Linked DNA regions of Neodiprion lecontei. The protein of the gene in region 1 binds, or shares a complex with, the protein of each later gene. Links are inferred from orthologs where the notes say so. Each region holds a gene or a part of one and is shown in the gene's direction. Other genes may lie near its edges.

Evidence for each region. The genes of interacting proteins can lie anywhere in the genome.
Region 2: meckelin (region 1) and B9 domain-containing protein 1-like share a complex: the UniProt entries of both Homo sapiens proteins name them as parts of the tectonic-like complex. The link is inferred for Neodiprion lecontei from reciprocal best matches to the Homo sapiens genes TMEM67 and B9D1.

The regions. Positions count from the first base shown.
Region 1 is NC_060260.1:37,172,283-37,178,731, reverse strand, and holds meckelin, read left to right. Parts: upstream 1-1,517; 5' UTR 1,518-1,652; intron 1,653-1,734; 5' UTR 1,735-1,928; coding exon 1,929-2,036; intron 2,037-2,233; coding exon 2,234-2,428; intron 2,429-2,515; coding exon 2,516-2,767; intron 2,768-2,855; coding exon 2,856-3,010; intron 3,011-3,098; coding exon 3,099-3,264; intron 3,265-3,382; coding exon 3,383-3,667; intron 3,668-3,745; coding exon 3,746-4,216; intron 4,217-4,300; coding exon 4,301-4,575; intron 4,576-4,689; coding exon 4,690-4,870; intron 4,871-4,987; coding exon 4,988-5,198; intron 5,199-5,276; coding exon 5,277-5,500; 3' UTR 5,501-5,926; downstream 5,927-6,449. Other genes in the region: ATPase ASNA1 homolog, read right to left, coding at 15-133; NADH dehydrogenase [ubiquinone] 1 beta subcomplex subunit 3, read right to left, coding at 6,160-6,449. UniProt on the Homo sapiens protein: Required for ciliary structure and function. Part of the tectonic-like complex which is required for tissue-specific ciliogenesis and may regulate ciliary membrane composition.
Region 2 is NC_060261.1:40,677,999-40,683,901, reverse strand, and holds B9 domain-containing protein 1-like, read left to right. Parts: upstream 1-1,978; 5' UTR 1,979-1,984; coding exon 1,985-2,110; exon of another isoform or gene 2,111-3,422; coding exon 3,423-3,534; coding exon of another isoform or gene 3,535-3,538; exon of another isoform or gene 3,539-3,842; coding exon 3,843-3,951; exon of another isoform or gene 3,952-4,442; coding exon 4,443-4,561; exon of another isoform or gene 4,562-4,866; coding exon of another isoform or gene 4,867-4,883; coding exon 4,884-4,987; 3' UTR 4,988-5,397; downstream 5,398-5,903. Other genes in the region: aconitate hydratase, mitochondrial, read left to right, coding at 47-395, 532-672. UniProt on the Homo sapiens protein: Component of the tectonic-like complex, a complex localized at the transition zone of primary cilia and acting as a barrier that prevents diffusion of transmembrane proteins between the cilia and plasma membranes.

The DNA.
Region 1 (6,449 bases):
TATGTACACATCACCTGCATGTTGTTTTCCCAACGCCTCCTTTTCCGCCGACGAATATCCATCTCAACGATCGTTGATCAATCACGTTTCGCACGGACGCTTCCAGCGGCTCAAATTCGACATTCGCAGCCATATTTTTCAATCTCTGATTAACTCAAAAATCGAAATGTCACCCGTCACGACAAACTAATTTCGCAGTTTCGCTGCTTGCGCTCAAGCGTCACGCTCTGCGCCAATCTTTCACAGCTGATGCTAATGACAGTTGTTCCCAACTTGTGCTCAACTGTTACAGTGATAAACACAGATGCTCAAACAATGATGCAATCAATATATCTATGCTTTTACGAATCCTGTATTGCGTTTGAATTCATGTCAAACAAGTTTTATTGAAGAATGAAACCTTATTAGCCATTGTACAATGACGGTATCATTCCATTTTATGAGTTACGAAGCCGTGAGATTCATTGACCGAAAGCTAATTCCGCTATATTTTACAATTCATCCCTGGCTAAAATGACCGTCCCGATTGCGAATTGAGTTCCTTGAGACACTGTACTGGAACTAAATAAAAGAAAAATAATGCATTTCGACTTTTACTCGGATAGCCAAAAACTCGCTCCACATTTTGAAATCATAAAATTGAAAATACATCTAAATCTACCTCCACTACAGTACGATTAAAGTTCGTTGTGAACTCGACCCATCTCTGGACTTTGAGCGAAATTCGACATAACACAGCTAGGTATTATAATATCATTCAGGTATATTCATCAAAATAAATGCGGTTTCAACCGCGACACTTGCAAACACAAATTGAATCGTGAACTAAAATTACGCGTCTAAGTTACAAAATGTTAACATTGTGAATTTTTTAAAAAGTAGAATGCGATTTTAGCACGGCATTTTTTTTTTTCATCAAATCAAATGCGTCATCGCGCCTGCAGGTTTGTCTCTCCGAATATCCCCTGAGTTGCCATGGAAACGGGCGGTAGGTATAAGACTGTAAACAATACAATACATAACGCACCCGCATATCGAATGGTTTAAAAATGTTTTTCATACACGATCCGTTTGTTCGTTATTTATTTTTCTCCGTTATTTTAGAAAATATTTTCCAAGTAAACACGTATCCGAACGGGGAGTTGTTTCAATACGTTACTCCTAGTATGTGCAAAAGAGGGGAATATTTCAACGTTGGATCATTAATTTGCACAGCTTGTGACACGACGAAGAACCTCGAACCCTCCAAAGACCGCAAGTTTAATTTATTGCCTAATTTATTGATATTTTAGGGAGCATGGTGTAATTTCTTCATTTTTGTTTTATTATATACTATCAATTATTTGTACTTTCAATAAATTAAAATGATGTGTAAACTTTTTCCAACTTATACTTTCGACCTGTCTCATTCATTGTATAAAATACAGTTAATAAATGAATCTGAAAAAAGTTGTAAAATTTTGAATTCACCATTACAGGACTTGATTGTGTTTGCAATAAACAAAGTAGGTTTGTCAATTTTGAAAATGGTAATCCGACCTGTGAGCCGTGTGGCCCTGACAGGATTCCCACAATTGACGGACTGGACTGCGTTCCATGTTCTGATGCTAGTACTAATAGTAGCTGCGAATGTTCGCTGACTGAAGTCAGATGTGAGAAACTGTTTTACCTCTTTGTGTATAGTATAAAGAACAACTGAATATTGAGAACATAAAATTACGTCGATATTTTTAGTGGAACGAGACATTAATGGGACTCTTTTGAATAACGTAAGATGCATTCCATGTCCAGAGAACTCCTATCCATCGCCAGATGGAACGAGTTGCATACCGTGTAGAAAAAAATCATTCAGGAGTCACATCAATTGCCCCTGCCCATTAGTTTCACATTTGAAAATCAAAGAGTACTGTATTAAGAAAAATGGGATAATGGAATGGCCTGATGTGAGAAGTACGTACTTAGTCAAATACGAAAGCCAACATATCGACAGTTATTACTTTAGAAATGAGCTACAACTAGCCGTTTACCTGTGTAAAGTAAGTATTCACTGATCGGTATTCTTGGTATTGCTTTCTCGGAGGAATGCGAAAAAATTCACACAATAGCATGGAGTGAAGATTCTCCCAAAGATTCGAAAGATGAACAATTTAAAATTGAACCAGCGGTGCATAAATAACTTCATTTGTAATAATTATTGAAATTCATCACACTAGAATTTTGTATTTGTTTTCAGAATGGAAACAAAACAGCTTGCGAGCATATGGCAAATATGTGCACCCTGACTTTATTTACATCTTTGATACCATGTAAATTATTTTGGGATAAACATAACTCTCCTTTATGGCTGTACTATGGAGAAGGTGAAGCCCCAACAGTTCTCAATCGTAAAAAAATTTCACAGCAGTATAGTCTGGATGTAGAGAGTAATGTACGTAGAGAATGAAACGAAATTGTATGAAAAAAAACTCATTTGTTGGCACTATGTCGTTAATGACTTTTTTTTATTTCACCACAGAGTAGCAGGTTGAATATTACATTTGCCACATTTTCAATGAATGGACAATATCAATCGATCTCAGCACCAACTTTAATCTGCGACTTGTTCAAAAATATCAGATTTGGTATTAATATTGAAAAGTCGTGTGCAACAACTGCCAAAATACTCAATGATATAAGAATGGAGTTTTTTGAACCATATCTTGGATACAGAGAGGGCGACAAAATGATTTTATACGCACTGCCGGTTCTGATAAGAAATACAAATAAGGTGAGATGGTTAAGACATTTTTCATAATTAAGGATAAAGGCAGCAAAAAATGCCCAAGTCTCTTCTTCATCTTTGCGGCACTGTTTAGGATGAAATTGATGCTTCTCGATGGCAACTGGTAAGGAGATTTTTCTTTACTGATACTATAGCTGGCATTAAAGCCTTGCCAACGTCGTTAGGCACTGCTTTTAAGAGAGAAGAATATCCAACTGTTGTGAGATATGCTAAATCTATTAATATTTTGTGAGTATTGCCTCGTTTTTTGAAAATGTGTGTGCTGTGTTGCAAAAATTTACTGTCATATACTGAGTAATTTTTTTCAATCATTCAGAATCAAAGTGCAGAATAAAGAAGAGAAGGGAAAAATATTCCCACCGTTACTTATGATAGAATATGGTGAATTGCTAAACGAACATGTGCGTCAAAACGTTGAGGTGCAAATTAGCTATAAAATCACTTACATATTGGCAGATAACGACATGTACAATGCCATAGAGGTAAACAAGTTTATTTTCAAGTAATAACGAACGCACAATTTTGTTTGCCTAAAATAATCTTTAATTAATCACTCGAGCACATCATTCATTCTTCTGATCAAATTTTTATGCATTTCAGGTGTCTACAGGCGTTTTGTCGAGTTTAGCAGTTGCTTTTGCCGCAATCAAGGCATGGAGCCATTGTAAACGAAATGGCAGTGAAGTTCCAAATACCTCCACGTTTTTCTGGTTTTTTATATTTTGCTGCGGTTTACTAGGAAACGTATTTATATTCGTAGTTTTCTGCGCCAGTGCTTACATGTTCATCTTTTTTAAAGGGCAGACCGTGATGCATGTTTTATTACCGAGCGAGGCCAACGAGGAGACTGTCAGAATATTCGTGATCGTTGCATTCTCTTTAAAAGTGAATAATGATATATTTTCATTCTTTACAAATCTGTCTGACAATTTTGAAAGGTTACTGCACCAATTATGTTTGCAGCTTGTTGAGATAATGGGACTCGTCTATCAGATTAGAAACATTGACATGTTTTTCATTGATTGGGAACAACCGAGGTCTGTTCAAAGCCAACCAAAGTACGATTCACCTCGTACATCTCTAAAGAAATTGTACGCTAATAGATTCTCTGGTGAAAAACGTAGCTCACCAAAAACACCATCAGAAATAATATCAGCTAGTAGAAACAAAACACCGCACAAATTGAGTAGCATTAATACCCCGAGCAGGCGATCAAGACTCTCGATTCAGAGTGATTTAAACGATTCGAATCTCCCCAATCAATCAGGTGGAGATATTTTCTCTATGGGAGATACTGCTGATCGTACCGATCAAAAAAAATTGCCAGTTAGTATTTGGCGAACTTATTTCATCGCTAATGAATGGTACAAAATTCAAACAATCAGAAAAGTAAATATGCTTGTACAAGGCATTGCAACACTGTTCATTTTAGAGGTCAGTAAAATTTATATGAGCTTTTTGGTAAAAATTGTTGCACGAATTGTTAAATAAATTATGTACAACATTTTATTCCCACAGGTTGTTAATGTTAAATTCTGGGCACGTTCAGATCCAGAACTTAGCATTCGTGCTGTAGAGTCAACTTTGCAGGAAAGAGAAAGCTTTACGCTAAAATTTGCTGTTGGTACCTTAGTATATATGTTTGTATACCTTGTACAATGGCTGACAATGGTTATATTTTATAACAGATACGTCAAGAATCATATCAAAGAATTCATTGACTTATGTTCAATGGCAAATATCAGTATATTTATTCTTTCTCAGAACCATTACGGATATTATATTCATGGAAGGTATGGTTCATCAATTTGTTACAAAATTCATACTTGTGTGAATACAAAGTTGATGGTTAGAACTTATTTTTCTGATTTAGCAACTGAACTTTTCATAAAGTATTCAACTTTCAGATCAGTCCACGGATTTGCAGATACTGATCTAGCTACTTTGATCAGCGACCTAAAACAAGAAGAAGAAAATTTGTGCGCACACAGAGGACTTCTACCCGGTACTACAGAGCAAAGCTTTGTAATATCAGTGTCAGCAACTTTCAGAAACTTTTATGATAAAATCATGAACCCAATCAAATTGGTAGGAGTTATAAAGGATTCAGAATGTTATAATTTTGTTTTTCTTTTAATTTTGTTTTATCGCAATCTTCGAGGAGAATTCTAATATAAAGAGAACATTGTATATTCTCTGTTGCAGGAAGAGAGCAGATTTCTTAGAAGTGACATAATTTCAACGTCAAATTTGGAAAGAAACATTCAAACATATCAGAAGATGAAACAATTCCTGACCCAATTTATAGATCACTGTTTCAAAGACTTGGAATACACTGTTAGAGATAAGCAATTCCTTGAAAAACTTTTAGACATTGAATTCAGAGAAGGAGTCGAAAAATCAATTTTCTATGTTGGTAAGAAGCTTGATTGTTCACAATATTGGGGAATTATTATTTTGCAACACAAAATATAAAATGCTTTCTCCTTTTCAGACAACAACCATTCCTTTGATCGTGCCATGTTCTATGGGAACGAATGGATGTTAGTAACTTTTGAAATTACCTTATTCAACTTTATGGAAGCCCTATTTGAGGACTACACTTTGGCGATAATAGTCACAGTATTCGCGTCACAGCTGTTAATTATCTGTTGCAAGTTTAATGGTAAGAAAAATTTAGCTCAGAAAACGTTGATCGATGAAAGATTTTTACTATGATTTAAGAAAATGAGCCAAAGTAATTTTATGCGGACAAGAAACTAAGTTTTCCAGGGTGCCTAAGTAGAAGCCCAGAAGTATGTCCATACTACCTAGAGTCCAGAATATAATTAAGATCTTTGTAGCTCTAGAATAATTGGTAACCCTGTTTAATGGGACTATCATTTGTCATTTGCTTTTATATGAGTATAAATATAAGAAAACCAGAAATGGACGAGGTAAAACGATTTTAAGGTCGTATTTACGAAGGTATCAGGATGATTGAGAAAATCGTGAGGTCACTGTTATACATGTACCGCTCATGTATTCTAATTACTGCTTCTACAAATACAAACTAATATTAAGTTAAATGTCATTGATTTATATGACATCAAAGAAAGACTGGATAAAGTGTGGCAAGTATTGTTCAAAAGTAAATAATGGGGAATATAATATGCAGATATATTGAAAACATGTCTATTGGTACAAAATAAAATCCTCCTAAAACAATAATCACACTGTTCGCTGTATATATTTTCTTGATTCATGTTAAGTTAAGTCTAATAGAAATAGTTCGAATAATAGGAATTTTAGTTACTGTATTTATTATATCACAAACTACACTTGTATCATCACCATCATTTCATTTATTATATCAACAGTGTGAACTGGAAAGAAATTTAATGATGACCACCATGTTCTCCACTATGTGCATCATGGTCATGGCTATGGCCATGGCCATATTCAATTCCCAGAGCTTTTTCAAGTCCTATTGTTAAGAGAAACAATGGAATACCCAATTTGAGGCCACATGTCGCGTACCGGAAGCCACGCCCCCAAAATGTTCCCCACTTTGTTACGTCGTAACGCCAAACTTCATTCCGCAGCCAAGGATCTCTTAAACCTTCCTTTGCCAATTTTTCTTGAACGCGTAGCAGTTCAGGTGCATTTTCTAGTTTGTATATGGTAT
Region 2 (5,903 bases), on another chromosome or scaffold:
CTTCTATCTACTTGTTTGGAGGTTTCCAATTTTCCTTGTTTTTCAGTGCGGTCAATGCGGAAAACGGCGAAGTCAACAAAATCAAGAACCAGCTTACGGGAGAGTGGGGAGCTGTTCCCGATGTTGCTCGACATTATAAAAAGAATGGCGTCAGATGGGTAACTATCGGCGATGAAAACTACGGCGAAGGTTCGTCTCGGGAACACGCTGCTCTTGAGCCCAGACATCTTGGAGGACGTGCCATAATTGTGAAGAGTTTTGCTAGGATCCACGAAACCAATTTGAAAAAGCAGGGTATGCTTCCATTGACTTTCGCTGACCCAAGTGATTACGACAAAATCCAACCAACTGACAAGATCAACCTCCTTGGTCTCAAGGATTTAGCTCCTGGAAAGGTTCGTTGATAAAGTTGTTTGACCTAAACGCAAAAATTATATTTCAGATTTGATTCTATTTCCCAGATGAGATCAGTAATTAACACATCTGATTCAGTGCTTGTGATTATTTGTCTTGTTTTTTGATTTGTTTTAGCCTATCAAGGCAGAAATCAAACACAAAGACGGAAAGGTTGACACCATCACTTTGAATCACACGTTCAATGAGCAGCAGATTGGTTGGTTCAAAGCAGGCTCAGCGTTGAACCGTATGAAGGAAGTAGCCCTAGGAAAGTAGAGGGTTAAACGAAACTGAAGAAACGAAGGATGAAGATGTCGAATTGAGAAGTCGAACAATGCCAAAAATGTCAACTAGCAGTAAGCTAGTATGTCACATGTATTGAATTTTCGAAAGCAAATAGGGAAAATTTACGAAATCGTTCGTAGACAGGGAATTTTAGTTCCGATAGAAATTTGATTTTTGAAGCGGCAGTTACGCGTACAGACGGTAGATATTTAGGAAATAGAACAATGCAAATATAAGGTAGTATTCATTACGAGAACTGAAATTTAAGGGAGCTAATTATCACTAAGAATCATGCGATATTAGAGAAATTTTATAATCGGGCTAAAGTTGCATACTTTTTTTTATGCATGTACGATGTACAATAAGTAATGAAACTTCCCTTCAATTGACAAAATTATTGTACGTATTATTGATTATGGATGTGTATATTCAAACTCGAATCAAGACTAGACTCAAATCTAAAATCGGTAGCTACTTTTTAGTCTCACTTCAACGATGCTATTCTGCGTCTTTATAATCCATTGCCAATCATTCAAGTCTGATTTTGCCAACTGAATAAAAGATGAATCGTAAAGACCAGTGCTCCTTGGGTCAGTTCTGTATAAAAAAAAAAAATTGTATATTAAGCAAGTCGGTGATTTAATCTGAATAATAATGCCCATTAGTACATTAATAACTGTTACTTAGGATATCATTTACACAGTAATACTTATTGTATATATTATTCTCTGTATCGATCGATTAAAAAGCAAAAGCTGTCATTTTTAACAGTTTTTGCCGTGTTAATAAAGTTTTACCTAGTATGCGTTAGTAGTTTGAAGTCGAAATTTTTCATTGAACAATTTTGTGGCTACTTCAATACCGATCGTATATTTTAGTAGAGTACTGCAAGTTTATATCCAAAAATAATCATTTTAATAAAAGTTTCACTGGGTTCTTACATTACTTTTAATTCGATCGTTAAATTTATGAAATAAATCAGTTCACCGGGAAAAGTGAAGAGCTATTGTCACTGAGTACCTAACAAAATTTTGATAATTCGTAATGAAAAGCTTGAATTGTCATTTGGTGTAGAATATAAGCGCCTAGCACAATTATCTTTGAAACCACAAATGTATCGCAAGTTGCTTGTCCAAACTTCATCAGGCGTTTTACCCGTTAATCGTCGAAACGCGCGGATATCGTCATGACAACGCAGAATGACGAAATTCACAACAAATAGTAAAGCGAACGCGTAAAAGCAAACCTTTGGTAGTCGATAGAGAAAATATCATCTGATCTGACGGAGAAGTAATTTATATCCATGTCAGTCGAGGGTGAATTTTTCTTATCAGTGACAGGATCGATCGAGTACGCAAACTTCTATGACATTGATAACGTGTATTGCAAATATGGATACCACTTTGGACCGGACTGGAGCATCGTCAGGGTATACACATCACACATTATTGGTTTACTTTCTTATCTGTGTTTTTTTTTTATTTCAATATTCCGACCGCTTGGTTAATTTTCTCAGTACTAACAATTCCATTTCTCACGGAAAAATTGTAAAAATGGTTTTTGTTTTATCCACTATCGTAATTGTACCAATACTTGGCAAAAGTTTCAATTATTATCTACCGTTGCTCAGTTATTAATTTGCAAATTTCTACGCGCTCAATCCAGCGACGACGGCAAAATCATTTATTTATTATCACGCGAGTTATTCAACGATGGAGATAATTTATACATTCCTCAAATACTTGATTTGCATTTTACCTGCAGCTGCCGTGTAACAAGAAGTGATTCGCGTGTTCACATCAGTCGGTAACATTCTGTTAGATATTTTAAGAGTATAAAGTAAGTTGATAAAAACTGATAACGTAAAAGTTACTGATCTGATTTCCGATTTGCGCTAATCATAAACTTCTGTGGGGAGAATTTTTTTTCCATCAATAATCGATGTACATGTCGATGAACGTACCGCGAAATGATTCTTGATTATTCCTGGGTGTTATAGCCATAAAATTTAAGTGCCCAATTAATTACGGGCTAGATGATAAATTTATTTTATATTCAAATGTTAGGCTTCGCGTACAGCACAAGATCCTGCTTGCCTTTAGTCATGTCATTCAAATAACCGCTTTCCAAGCTTTTAATAACGCTACATGTTATAACATACATAATACGGACGGCTTGGTCGATTTTTGCAGAAATTTATTCACCCACTTAATCTTGATAGTTTCAAATAATCTTGATGGAAGGAAAGGAGTTTGGTATACTTTTCTTTTATTGTTATATTCCTCTTGTTTTCTTCCGCTCTCGAAAGAATTACCCATACAGCTCATAACCACATCGAAGTATAGATATCACTTAAGGTTATTAAATTTCGTTGAAAGAATTTCGTCTCTATGAGTAACCAAAGTATTCACCCGCGGTTATACCGCGGCATAAATTGAATGGGAAAATATTCACAACCGGGGATTGAACGCACGTGCTCTTATCGCTCTCGAGATTGGATCATGAGGTAGCTGGTTGTGAGAATTCGTGACTACAATTGAAACGCTGGGAAGAAAAACGTGACAAAAAGCTTTCGTAGGGTATCATCCTCAAAGTTTCCTCTACAGTACATGTAAAACAGGGGTGTATCGCACCGATAATTTTCATTTCTACGATCTCCTCTCAATAACAATTCCGCCGATTTGAATAATATACAGTATGTCGCATGTAGAATTGTAAACCAAAATTTTTCAACTCCACAGGGAATCGAAGAGGGGCTTACGCAAATGAGTAAAAAAAGCACCGACGCTCGCCAGGTTGCTGTTTGGAACTTTCCTCTCGATATTGCGTTCAAGAGTATCAATCCCCAGGGATGTAGGTATAGCTGTAAAACTCATATAAAATTACAAAATAGAAATTAAAAAAAAAAATACAACCGAACAACCACCCTTTACAATGTTTGCCAAGTTTCAAAATGTTTTGACTACAATTAGTATACGTAGAATTTAAAAGATTAAATACTAGACGTAACAATATTCTTATCGCAGCAATTAGCGTGATTACCCGTATCACGATAAGATATCAGACGTTCTCGACATTGAATTTTTTTTTTTTTTTTTACATTTTCGAATAGCAAAATACATCGATTGCACTTACTAAATACCATTTTCCATCTGTTTTAGGGCCTCAGTTGATTCTGTCAGTTTACGGTTTGGACTGTTTTGGTCATGATGTGGTTAGAGGCTACGGAGTTTGTCACTTGCCACTCGCGACTGGCACGCACACAAAAAAGTACTTCAATTTTATCCACATTTTTCAGACGCCCGCTTATATTTGAGTGGAATTGCATCATAGTCGTTCAACTGTCGCGATCGAACCGTGGAATAAAAATTTACACAGCAATTAATTCGGACGTTTACTTTTCAATTTCTGCGAAGCGAGAAACGTCCTTTTGATAAGGCACGTCAGCCGTGCGACTTGCAGAGGCAGTTCAAGAATGACGTGACCCCATTTTTTTCCACTTACCCACTTTGCCCTCGAATATCAGATCTCTTCTCGTTTCCCTTAAGCTTCAATTTTTCTTTAACATGCATAAATAAACGATACGCTTCAATTTGGTGGAAAAAATTGTAGATAATATTTAAAAGTGACCGCTTAATTTTCTGCGCAATCGATAAAAAAAAATAAATAAACAAACAAATAAATAAGTGAACATTAGAATTTACAGCCACTTTTGGCAAGGTATGTAATCAGTTTCATTAGCGCAAACGTTTCGTTTTCAGGGTGGCTGTGTATGTTCCGCAATCTTCTTCGATATTGCAACAATTTATTGCCTGGTTCTCCGGAAGGAGACCGGAACTAATAGATCCAACGATACTCGCAACTGGCGGAGGGCGAGAGCGTAAGAACCATTCGAATACCCAACATCCACAGCTTACACGACACACGACACATTTATTTTCGCACATCGCTTGCCTCGGTTTCTTACCGCGATATAACGCATAAAGCTGAGCGATACTTTTATTTCGTGAGGAAACTCGCGGTCGTCAATGTACATTTTATTCTTCACCAGACTTCACGAACAATATTCGACGTGAACAGAGCTTGGTACAATAATGCTAGAGCTCGTCTTTGGCAAATTTAAAATGCACCTACTGTAATATTAATATTTCCAATTCAGCGCAGTTTTAAATTTGAAAAATTTAGGGATATTATTTTTTCAGTGACGAGGATGATTTCCCAAGGAACTATTACAGTGCGTTTTAACGTATCGATGAAGGATTTTTTTAAACTGGGTTACAGCAACGGCCAGCAGGCGGATAGGTAACACTATACTTTATCGAAACCCTTGAATAAATATTATGCTTTGTATGTTTATTGCCAAAACCCTATATGTACACGTATGCACGTGCGCATGTATTGTATGTTTATATTACAAATAAATAACCTGTAATTAGATGAACCGTATTTATGATATCTCCAGCACATCTGTATACGTCGAGGTATACGTACATCATACGCGGCCTATTCGCAGGTAAATTAGGCATTATATTATGGAATTTATACTAATGGAATCTGCCGGTATTCAAACGTAACGTATTGTCAATTAATATATCCACTTAAGCGTATTTCTCTGTACCGTGCTTTATTATCATAAAAATACTGTTACGGCGTTCATTCAGCAAGTTCCTGATGGCGAACGCATTTGACACTCCTCGCATTACAATATTTATTAAACACATGTTTCAAAAATTTGTTTTAAAACAGTTGCACTTTGCCCGTAAGAATCACTATACTTTTCTATTTTTGCAACACGGTATTTTTTTTTTCCTTTTTCTCCACAGTTTTATCGCACTTTTCGTAGATATTAATATTGCCGGTTATATTATTGGAAAACAATTAGGACCGGATTATTTTACCACCCTGATCGTATACGGTATAACGACTAATATTTGCCGAGCGTCTTTCTTAAGTAAATAATTGTAGACTAATTCTCAACGAAAGCGCTCTCGGTGAACTTTTCTTCTGAGGTATTTACATATAATGCCTGAATTCTGAGGGACCTGGAACAGAGAAATGAGAGAAATTTATTCAGATGTTAGTCCATTGATTGAAATATTATCAGAACCTTATTCGTCCAACTGTGCAACCCAATTCGTTTTCAATTGGTAATTTTGGCGCGTGTTGAATTCTCGGGGACGGTATAACGAGAAAAAGGTCGAGAACGAAAGTTTCGAATTCAA